Arabidopsis thaliana: one gene and its partner. The protein of the gene in region 2 interacts with the protein of the main gene of each other region in a pairwise test. Each region holds a gene or a part of one and is shown on either strand. Other genes may lie near its edges.

Region 1 (6,636 bases), 5.7 Mb from region 2:
TTGAAGAGCTATTTGATGTGTTGTGGTAGTCGTACTCGCTATTTGTTTGTTTTCTATGATGTGAAATAGATTTAATTAGGGTTTATGTTCTATTCTGGGTGGTGATAGTAACACTTAGGTCATAATTAATCTGTAATTTTGCTGTTCTGCGAGATTATTTGTCTGCTCATCTGAAACTTCATACGAATAGATCTCTTGTTTAGATTTTCTATTTGTAGGTTTAATTAAAGAATCTTGTTTATCTTATAATCCAGTTTCTTGTGTGGAATTGAAATGAATTTGTTTGAGAATCTTATTTCTCTTGTGTGTGTGTTTTTTTTGGCAGGGAAAGATGGTGATCTATCCCAGAAGTTCTGGAGGTAAATAATTCTTTATTGTAAGCTTTGATTCTAGGATCAATAAAAAGATAATTACACTTACTTGTTCTTATCATCTACGCATACTCAGTTTATAAATCAATATGTTTCGTCTTAAAAGACTTATTTAATTTGGTATTTCCTTGAGCCTAACTGTGTTTTGTTCTTTGGTATATCATTATAGTACAAAGGACGAGGGACAAAAACCTTTCTCGTTCCAAATCGGTAAAGGTGCTGTGATCAAAGGTATAAACTTACTTACTCTGTTTTATGGTTAATCATATCATATCTCTGAACCTATTTGCCTCTTTTTTGGCGAGTGAACATCATATGATTCGATTGTTTAACTTTGCTTACAGGATGGGATGAAGGCGTTATCGGAATGCAAATTGGAGAGGTTGCTCGCTTGCGGGTATGTATACTCTGCTTCTCTCATCATGTTCCTCTTTGCCATCTATGCTTTTATGGCTCTCTGTTGAAGCACTTTTGTCTTTCATGATAGTTTGGGTGTTTCGTTATATGTTTAACATCTTTGGCTTGCGATCTTATCTGCTTCTGCAGTGCTCATCGGATTACGCATATGGCGCTGGTGGATTTCCGGCATGGGGGATCCAGCCAAACTCTGTTCTCGACTTTGAAATCGAAGTACTGAGCGTGCAGTAATGATCTCCCCAGCTCCTAAACTGTGGGTAGATTATTAAACAACCCTTTATGTTTATTGCTTCTGGGATCTTTATGCAACAAAACTTTGTGATGTCATTGCTCTTCTAAAACTCTTGGACAACGTTTTTATCTAAATAAAAGAAAAGACCCGTCTCGTGTTTCAGTTGGAATGTTTGTACTATATTATGATATTATTCCCGTTTTTTTATTTTGATTAAAATGGTTTTGTTTATTCAATCAAAATGCCAATAAAAAGCACAAAAGAATCAAACTAAAACTTCAATCTTAATGACATATCAGACCCAAAGCAAATGGTCTCAACCATAATGAAATTTGAATTGACCACTTCTAATTCAAAACACAGTATAAATTACTGTTCTTAATATCAAATCAAAGGAAGAAAAAAGACTAAAGTTAAAAACTTTTTCAGACAAGATACATAAGTTAACAAAAGAAAGGAAGAAAAAAGAGAGAGACGCGAGAGAAGTCGTGCGGGTAATTAAGCACTTAAAATTCCCGTGCAATTCTTTAATCATCACTTATGCTTCTTTTTTCTTTTTCTTTTCTCCATTTTCATTTTCATTCTTTTTACTTTTCTTTTTCTTTTCACCCACATTCCCCAATCACATAAGTCCTTTTATGAATAATAACTTTTAACATAAATGAAAGTCTACATAATATTTTTAAAAATAAAACAAAAGTATTGAGCTAATTTTGGCGTTGTATAAGCTAGATAGATGCTAAATTGTCAATTTAAATTAAACAATTAAAAAGAGTGGTTAGCTTTTATTCTTTTCCGTCACAATGGGTGTTTGAAACACACACAACACCGCACCTGAACAAATGTACTATTAAAATATAATTAAGGATGAAAAAAAGCTTGAGCACACTTTCACTAACTTAGCTTTCAATAAAATTAAAGAGGGATTATAACCTGAAATAGTATTTATTTAGAAAATAATTAAGGATATAATAAAGCTCGACCACACTTTCACTAACTTAGCTTTTAAAATAAATAAGAGAAAACGTATGAACTTTTACTTTAACGAATTAAGTATATATTAAAAAATTATATTGGTTAGAAAAATATTATTTAATGATAAAGTATAACCTGAAATTATGGACCGTGAGACTTTGTCATCATATATACCATAATTACGTATATACACGTTCGGCCCCCTTGTCCCATTTCTTTCAAGCAAAGCACAAATATAAACATTGCCACCGTTTTTAATTACTAGATTAATTTCCAAGTTACACATATTTTTCCTCTAAATAATTAAAAATTCAAATTGTACAACTTAAATTATGTTACCTTTTGCGTATCTTAGTTTTTTTCTTTTAAAAAAATATAGAATGAAAATTAATTTCGATATATAGAACAAACAAAAAACCGAAAAAATTGAGAATGTGAATTGGTAAAATAAAGTAATGAAAAGGGCAAAAGCGTCATAAAATCTTTTTATAAAGCCTTGTTACTCTTGTTGCCACTCACCTCTTTAGAAATATTTCGTAAAAAAAAATTCTCCGTTTAGACATTATTGTTCGTTGGTCACTTTCATCTCTCTTATCCCTTTGCTTTTCCATTGATTCAGCTCAAAAAAAAACAAAAAAGTCTCATCGTTTTCTCTGGATCTGACCGAAAGATCATTCCTTTCTAAGGTAATCAAAATCCAATTTTTCTCTCTTATAGTCTGTGTCACTGTTCTCTCTGTTTGTGTATCTGGAGACTGTGGTTAAAAACGGTTTGAGTCGTTTGTGAAATGGTAAAGTTCTGTAATTTATGTCTGAATCTAGCTTAGAACATTGTGATTTGTGTATATTCTGAGTTGTAATAGTAAAATGTAGCGTAATTTTGCTGGAATTGATGCTGTGAATACACCCACTTGCTAGACGTTTATAAATCTATGTCCTTTACTGTTTTTGATCTCTGGATTTAGCTCATTTTTGGTGCTGATGAGATTCTTCCTTCGACTTTTTGCACAGATACTAAAGTAGGTTTGAGTGATCAGAATCAATTAGAGTGTGTATAAGAGGAAGAGAAAGAGAAAACAGCATGTGTATTGCCGTATACCGTAAAGTTTTGAGCTTGAATCTGTATTGCCGTGTGATACTGTAGATTGTTTCACCTTTGAAGCAACACCTTCAAGAGTCAAATCCTTTTCTTTCTTATTCATCTTCCCTTCTTTTTCGGTATATTATAAACACTTTTGAAAATGGGATCACAACATTTCTATGTGTACCATTGTGAACAAAGAATCAGCTAGACTAAAAGCTCACTCTCCTTCCACAAACAAAACTTTCCTCCTTTTGGTTTTGGTATCTGTCTACTTTCTTCAATCAAGATTTCCTCAAAGTTATGGTGTGCCAATCACCTGGTAAGACAAGATTTCGAGGATTGAAGTACGAGACCGGAAACGCTAACGAATCAACAATTGTAGTGAGAGTTATTGAATGCTATCAACCGATGGATAATTGCCAGGTTTGTACCAGACAATAATGCTCTTGTTATCATACTTTTAGCTTATATAGTTCTAGTCTTCTAACACTGTGGTTTTGTGATTATTCTTTGTGTTTCAGGCTGAGTACTTCAGACTTCTACTCAAACCAGTCACGTAGTTGGTTGGTGACATTTCGCTGCATTTTTCAATCTGTGATTGTTTTTCGTTCGTCTTTCTTTTACTATTTTCTCGAAAAGGACACAAGAAGTATTGCATTCACTCAGTTGAGCAACTTAACAATCGGTATGCTCTTTTCCCTCTAATTACGCTTGTGATATTACTGACTTTATCTTTCTTGAGCTGATTTTTGCCTCTGTTTTGTCCTGCAGTGTTGTACTTTTTGAAGTTCCCTTGAGCTAAACTGCTAAGAGCATGCCTCTGGATAAGAGGCAACGGGATTTGCCTCTGGGCTTAAGTCCTCAAGCTTGCTTCAAGGATATAGTAGGTCGGTCTGTCCTTCCTAGAATTCCTCTCCCTGAGCTTGGGAAACTATATGCAGCTAAGCTTCAGGCTCGCTGTTTGCAGCCACCACCATTCCAGTCTTTGCTGTGCAGTCATGATAAGGAGTCTTATGGAAAAAGATTCTCACGGTCTGACATGCGGTCTTGGTGCGCTGCTGCTACTACTACTACTACTCCACTTGGAGCATTAGAGTCTTCTCAGAAAAGACTTTTGATATTCGATCAGTCAGGAGACCAGACTCGTCTATTACAATGTCCATTTCCTCTACGGTTTCCATCTCATGCGGCTGCAGAACCAGTGAAACTCTCTGAGTTACAAGGTATAGAGAAAGCTTTCAAAGAAGATGGTGAAGAGTTTCACAAGAGTGATGGAACAGAGTCAGAAATGCATGAAGACACTGAGGAGATCAATGCATTGCTATATTCAGATGATGATTATGATGATGATTGCGAGAGTGATGATGAAGTAATGAGCACTGGTCACTCTCCTTATCCAAATGAAGGAGTTTGCAACAAAAGGGAATTAGAAGAAATCGATGGTCCTTGTAAAAGGCAGAAACTACTGGATAAGGTCAACAACATCAGCGACTTATCATCACTTGTGGGCACTGAGAGCTCCACACAACTCAATGGATCTTCCTTTCTTAAGGACAAAAAGCTCCCTGAATCAAAAACCATATCGACCAAAGAGGACACTGGTTCTGGTCTGAGCAACGAGCAGTCGAAGAAAGACAAGATCCGCACAGCTCTGAAAATACTCGAGAGCGTAGTCCCTGGTGCAAAAGGAAACGAAGCGCTCTTACTTCTGGACGAAGCAATTGATTACCTAAAGTTGCTGAAACGAGACTTAATCTCCACAGAGGTTAAGAACCAAAGCTCCACCACTCACAAGTCACCAATCTTGTTGCTTAAAGAGACAACATGGGGAACAAGAAATCTGCAGACAGATAAGGCGTGAAAGATTCTGACGAGTTAAAACGTGTGAAGTGGGTTTTTGGGTACGTATCCTCTGCACCAGCTTTTTAGCTGTATATAGTGGACTACTTTTAAGTATTATATATGCTACTGCAAATTTCAAAAAGTTAAAGAAGAAAAGAGGTCACTTTCTTCTTCTCTCTGTGTGGAATGAAAAGCCAAAGTCGTCATGGTCATTGATGGACAATGATTATCTTTTTTGGCTGAGTGTGGATGGTGAAATCAAAAGGCAAATATTCAAAGTCTCATCTCAAGCTCGCGTGATCTATGAATCTCCCCTAAGGTAATAAAATATCTCTGACCCACACACACTCTTTTGTCCATATGATGACTAGATGGGTCCATGATTTTTATGAAATATTGATGTCATGTTCATGTAATTAATTTGAGTGTCTGTAATAATGCAAACTATTCCTTTGTCTTTTGCTTCAACCCACATGCTACTGGTATTGTTGTGTCTCTATTGTTGTATTGTTAAATGGTTTTGTAATAAACAAATGGCGTTTTTTGGTTTGTGATAAAAATCGAATCGTTTATGTCACTTATTCCATATTAGAAACCAATAAACATTACAAATTAGGAACAAACAAAAGCTTTTTCTTTTCAAAGAATCAAAATCAAGAAGATACAAAACCATCACTATCACTTCATGAAATTGAGTTCCTCCATCGTCTTGGTTTCCTGGGGGGTGGATGATCAACACCAGCTTGTTCTCCTCCAGAGGATATGTCATGGCTCTCCTGTCCACTCATCTTAGTCAGTTTACTTAGCTTCTTCCAACCGCTGGTCCAAGCCGAAGAAGATGGCGTGTTCTTCACTTTCCCCGTCTTCTCAAACTGTCGTTGCATCACTTCCATCTCGTTCTGAAGCTCGACGTACTTGGTCTTCACCGTCTCTAACTCGAACTTCAACGTGTTAATATCCTTCTTGGCTGCAGCCCATCCTTCCTGCATTCAAAGTAGAGGAATTAGAAAAAAGGAATTTGTGTGAATTTTGATGAGTGTTTTCTCTTACTTGCCTGAAACGATTGTGGTGTTGCTTCGATCAATGTCTTGCGATTTGGGATCATAGGCTGATACGTACCCATGGCTTCTCCTAAAGTGGTTGACTCCTTGAGTGATGTGTTGGCTAAAGCATTGCTGATCTTGACTTGCTCCGAGAAGAGAACTTGAACCACCACTCTCAATGGCAACCTCTCGTTCTGAGCCGCGTGCATACATGCGTCCATTGATAGTTTTTGACAATCCATCACTCGGCATAGCCGTTTCCTCTCATGCTCCGATAATGTCGGATGCGCCTATCACAACAAAATTAAGCCAAAAAAATGTTGAAAACTATTCTACGAATTTACCAAAAAGACCTTCAATATATATATACCTTGAGATATGAATCAATGGCTCTGTATAGTCCATCGTCACAAGTCCTAGCAGATTCCGGTAACGCCTCAGCCAAAACCTGAAACTTTGTCAACGGCAAATTCCGATCTCTAGCAACTTCGGTGAGATAACTATCCACAAGCCTCGCCACTCTCATTTTCGCATTCTGATTATTACCACCACCACCACCACCATTGTTGTTATTCCCTCTCGGGATATCGGCGTACATAGACTGCGACGGCGACGGCGACATTCGACTCGGACTCGATCCTTCCGTCTGTTCTTGCACAAGAAAATGTTCCAA
Region 2 (5,309 bases):
ACTTTCTTTGTTAGAGGTTTTGGACCTGAAATTTTATAACTATAGGTAGAGAATGTTAAGGTTCATAGACACTGTCTCAAAACCAATTGGTGATGTGTTAAGTAACGATAACTCTTAGAGAAGTGGAATCGTTGTTGGTTAGCTTTCAAACAGAGATTATGCAAGTATCATCACCATTGATAGTCAGCACAAAACTGTAGTTTTCAATTTGATAATAATTGGTATAAATGTTTTTGAACAGGAAGTGGGATTAAGAGGGCTGACGAGCAAGCGTCACATGAAGATAATACTAAGGTGGATGAGAGAGAGACAGAAGCTGAAGCTGATATGTAACCATGTTGGTCCTCACAAGCAATTCTTGTACACTACTTGGTTCACTAAACACAACCCTTCTTCTAAATTCCCCAAGTTACCACCGGAAAATCTCACAGGAAAATCCTCTGGCCACCCTCCTAAACTTCCCTGAGCCGACTCTGTTAAGTTTTAAGGCTTTGTTTCTTGAATCTTCCTCTTACAGTTATTAATGATCACCTTAGTAAAATCAATAGCACATATATGTAGCCTGCATCTGAAGATTCCTTGTCTAGATTCTCGTGACAATTGAATATGAAAAGACATGAGATGAAAGTTGATGTTGTTACAGTTGAAGAATGTGTAAATGATACAACTGCATACCAGTTGGTTAACTTTATGTATATAATCGAAATTTCACCTGATTCTGTTGTCATATTAAAAAGACATGATGATACACTCCTGGAAGTGGATCTATACTCCAAGGACTCACTTTGTTGGTTTTGAATTGGAAATGATGTAGTTGATAGTGAATAATGGATTGATCTTAATCAAAGCGGTGGAAAGACGATGAATGGGGATGGCGACGAGATCGAGTGGATGCAGCGGAATGAAAGGGGAACGAATTGTACTTCCAAGAGTGATGAAAGACTCTTAGACTACGAGCTTGGATCCAACTTAGATATTACACACTAAGAAGAAAACAAGTTGAAAAGATACTACACACTTTTCAGATCAAACAAGTGAAAGAGAAAGTTTTTGATTAAAATGTTTGATGATTACAAATGAGAACTACAATGAGTTTATATAGGAGAGGAGGAAGAAGGGGAAGAGGTGAGAGAAGAAAGACATGCAAGAGCATGCACAAGTACACACTCATGCAAAGAGTTTTGGAAATAACAAAAACAATAAATGCAAAGTTTGAAGAGAAAATAGAAAATGGGCCACGGCATTGTGAGTGGGCCTTGGACCACGAATTGAGCTGATAAAGGGAGGCTTGAAAGTGTTCCTTAGGCCTCATTAAAAACCTTGTCAAGAAAACCCATTGGGACAAAACTTGATAAGGGAAAAAGAATGCATAAGCAACACTTAACCCTTTACCGAGCCTCTTGAGCCGTGATCACTATGAAGGAGGATTGAGTCACGTCTTCTTGATTCTTCTTTAGCTCCTTGAGTAGTCCATTGATAGCTTGGTTGAACTTCTTAGATTTTGATCTTGTTAGAGGACCCGCCAGAACGATTAATGCTTCCTCCGGTACAAGCTGCTTCTCGTCTTTTTGTGGTTCAAGTGGTTTGGTTGCCTTGGTCATGTTCTCATCGCATGAGTTTGGACTTGAAACTACAAATACAAAACATAGAAACAGAAGACAAATATTATCATTAAACCAAACTGATGAAGCAGAGAACCAGTTTGATTTCGATCAATTTCCCTCATACATATATGTATGGAAAACTGATCGAGGTCAAACCAGACCCTTTCATTCATTACATTGCTAAAACATATCTGTAACCAAAATTAGCAGAATCAATACATACATATAATAAAGAAGTAACTAGAAGTTAGTTTGAAAACTGCAGAGAAATTATCTTCAAAGTGCTGAAATAGTGTTTGCAAAGTCTTTGAAACAATCAGAGAATCGTAGATTATCTCCATCCAAACATCTCTGAAAATAAGAAAACGGAGTTAGATCCACCGAGACTTGATCATCAACAACAGCGTTCAAAATACTTGCACTAATCTCCTGATGAGTAGTGTTGTCCGAAAACCAATCATTTAGCGCGCTCTCAAAAGGCGTGTCGAAGCCAATGTCTTGATCGTAATCCAGGTTCATTTCAGGTAAAGCAGCGTTGTTATCCATAACACAAAAAGTTTCACAAATCGAGCGAATCTGATCTTGTTCTTCAGTGATCTCATTGAAATTTTCAGGTGAATTATCAGGGACGCAACAAATTGCAGAAGTACTCGACTGAATATTTAGGGTTTGATTTGGCTCTTGAGTAATCTCGTTGAGATTTTCTGGGATGCAACAAATTGGAGAAGCGGACTGAAGAATTAGGGTTTGATCATGAGTTTCGTGGTCTGAAACAAAATCGCACTTGTCGTTGTTCTTCAGGTCCTCGCGATCATTAACGAAAGCTTGATTACAGGCTAAAGCTTCATCCGCACGCAATTCCTTGAGATTCCTCAACAGCGTCCGCATAGAGTCGATCGCTTCACTAATCTCTTGAGGATTCTCCGATCTGGCAAGGCTCTCGTCGTTCCACCAAAAACCTAACCCTAGATTATTGCGAGTCAAACAGATACCAACGTCCTCCCTCGTCTCTTTGTTATCCTTCGGAACAGGACGTTGTCCGGAGAGAAAAGCAGAGACAACGGCATCAACAGAGGAGTGACCGAAAGAGTAGAAGGATACGTTGGATTCAGAAGAAGGAGGAGTCGCTAAGATAGCGATCTGTGCGTCTGAGAGAAGACAAAGCTGAGAGGCTTTGCTATAGAGACCTTCACGGCGTTTGGTGCAGGTAACCCTAAGGGAATCTCTCTTCTGTATCGTCTCAATCGCAATCTTCCTCTTCGTGCCACCTTTTTTCACCATTCTGATTGATTTTTCTCAATTTTGTTGAGTGTGGAGAAAGATAATTGAAAAGTGAAGGCTTCTTCTATCTCTCAGTCTCATATATATAAGGGAAATATCGAAACCCCATATCAATATCATCCACCTAAACCGATTAAACCACATGGACCGTAATCTTGTATGGGCTAAGCCCAACTATCCACCAGAATCCTTTTTTAGTGCAGTCTTATTTATTTTTATTTTGATAATTTTTAGTTATTGTATTATGATTCAGATTTATTTGGAGATATTTTTATTTTTCAAAAAATATTATTTTGCTAGATTCTACAAAAAAAATTTTGTCAGATTATTATGAGAGAGACAAACAAATATATAGCTGGTTCTTCACATTATCGTGTTCATTCTTTCTGGTTCTTCACTCCTTAAAATGTGGCTATGGAGTTGACAAAGGTGACCTGGTAGCAGAAGAAAACTTTGTTAAAGACCTACTGAAAAACAATAGTCCATCAAATAAAACTAACAAAAAAGCCTATCAGCTATCCTAAACACACAAAACTCAAAATATCAATACCAAGAAGAAACAATTGTAATTGGTGACTATAGAACAAACCTTGAGAGAGGGTCATCAACATATAATCACTGACTGATTTCATTGGAGCTTAACCTTGACAGTGTTTCAAAAACACCTAGCAATATCTATCACTCAGTTTACTACCACTGTCTAGAGCAACCAAATCGTCCAGACTTTCTATAAAAACGTTGTTTCTTAGTATTCATCAATTTTTTGTCAAAAATATTTGCAATTATACTGTTTTTGTCTTGATCATCTATTGTAGACTGGATATTTGCACATGTAATGTCAACAATTTCATCTGTTGTTGTACCATTAGCAGAAAAAGAAATGATTCTCAAATTTGGGGTTGGTCAGTCAACAGAAGATGATTCCAAAGCATCAAACGTTTTTGACCTCTCCTCCAATTTCTCTTTACATACAATTTCAAAAAGAAAAAGATTATCTCCAACTAAACCCTAAACCTAAAATTTTCTAACTGAAGGAAAAAAAATCCCCTAAAATTCTCTTCTGCCATTAGAACCAGAGTTTTTAAAGAATTGCAGGAAACCTAACTAAATAATTTGGAAACATGAGAAAAAAAAACATCAGTTTATCTACATAGGCGCGATGATAAGCTACGAAGAAGGTAGCGTCCGGTCGAACCAGTTAGAGAGATTTGAGATTTTGGCTGCTACACTTTTATTTCGACCAAAGAAAGTCTCTGCATTGGACAACATAACTGATACGTCGTGTCGTAATGCTTCCACACTTCGGTAATAGTTGTTCTCAAGCCTTGATCTGATTACTTCAAGAGACAAAGGAACTGGGAACCTGCAGAATGAATCCATAGAACAAAACCATGTCAGCTTTGGCTCCACCAAAGACTCTTCCAGGGTTGTAGAAATTTACCTGTTGGAGTAGCTGGAATTTCCCACGGTCTGGTTCAGTTTTCGGAGGCCAAAAGAATCCTGAAACAAATTAGCCCACATTATATCAATATTGTTAGTTCTTGGGATAATGTTGTGTCTTAATCCACTAAGCTTTAGAATGTGATCTATAAACCAACTAAGCTAATGTAAACATGGGCCTAAGCTCTTTGGGTGAAGTCTGAATTTGGTGGGGAGGATAGGCTAGATTTAACACCATGAGATATTATATTCATTAGGATCACATACCTGGGTTCTCTTGTCTGAAGTCTCTAACTTTGTTAAGGCCGAGAGCAAACGGTTTCGTTGCTCATCATCAATGTGAGGCTGCTCCCACTTGGTATCTGCATCAAAAAGCTCCCAGGGACTGTGAAGATGTGTCTCGGCAGGGTCACTCTTGTACTTAACTGTGTACCTCTCCCACGGACTATCAGGAAAATCAGGTGATTTGGGTTTCACAGCTAGAATCCGTCCTTCCCACCAACTACCATCTTCTTCGCCTTCGTCTCTCCACCAAACTTTACACTTGTCCCTGCAAGTCCAGTTCCTCTGTATTGCTGCTTCATACCGACTTCTTTCCACAAGAAAATCTGGAAACGTCACCACTTCAGGCAACGTAAGTTTGAAAGCTTTGTTGAACACTTCGGAGTTTGGATCGATGACCTTAAGTATCATTTTGCAGCAGCTATCCCCAGAACCAGGCAGAGTTGCATATTCAAGACTTTCCACTTTACAAATTTCTACAGCCTTTATATTTCCTCCTTTTATTGATGTCCAAGGAGCCACTTCCCTCAGGGAGCTAAAGTTTAAGTATTCTTGATGCCCCTGAAAGATAAGAGTAACAGCCGCAGATAAGAGAACTGATACCAAAGGTCGACTAAACGAAACAACAGATAAGATTACCCTCAAAACTTACCTGTCGCAAATACGCAACTTCATCCCCCATTTGTGGAATATAACGAGAAC

What was found. The genes of interacting proteins can lie anywhere in the genome.
Region 1: the proteins of AT5G49420 (region 2) and SAC51 interact in a two-hybrid assay, tested with the Arabidopsis thaliana proteins (one large-scale study listed by BioGRID).

The regions. Positions count from the first base shown.
Region 1 is NC_003076.8:25,729,193-25,735,828, reverse strand, and holds SAC51 (transcription factor SAC51), read left to right. Parts: upstream 1-2,515; 5' UTR 2,516-2,681; intron 2,682-3,005; 5' UTR 3,006-3,501; intron 3,502-3,599; 5' UTR 3,600-3,763; intron 3,764-3,849; 5' UTR 3,850-3,892; coding exon 3,893-4,939; 3' UTR 4,940-5,494; downstream 5,495-6,636. Other genes in the region: FKBP12 (FK506-binding protein 12), read left to right, coding at 326-359, 541-602, 716-768, 918-1,019; Phototropic-responsive NPH3 family protein, read right to left, coding at 5,604-5,903, 5,975-6,253, 6,334-6,636.
Region 2 is NC_003076.8:20,033,286-20,038,594, forward strand, and holds AT5G49420 (MADS-box transcription factor family protein), read right to left. Parts: upstream 2,921-5,309; 5' UTR 2,886-2,920; coding exon 1,881-2,885; 3' UTR 1,828-1,880; intron 1,631-1,827; 3' UTR 1,387-1,630; downstream 1-1,386. Other genes in the region: AT5G49410 (thiamine-phosphate synthase), read left to right, coding at 242-466; AT5G49430 (WD40/YVTN repeat and Bromo-WDR9-I-like domain-containing protein), read right to left, coding at 4,053-4,248, 4,327-4,385, 4,593-5,168, 5,260-5,309.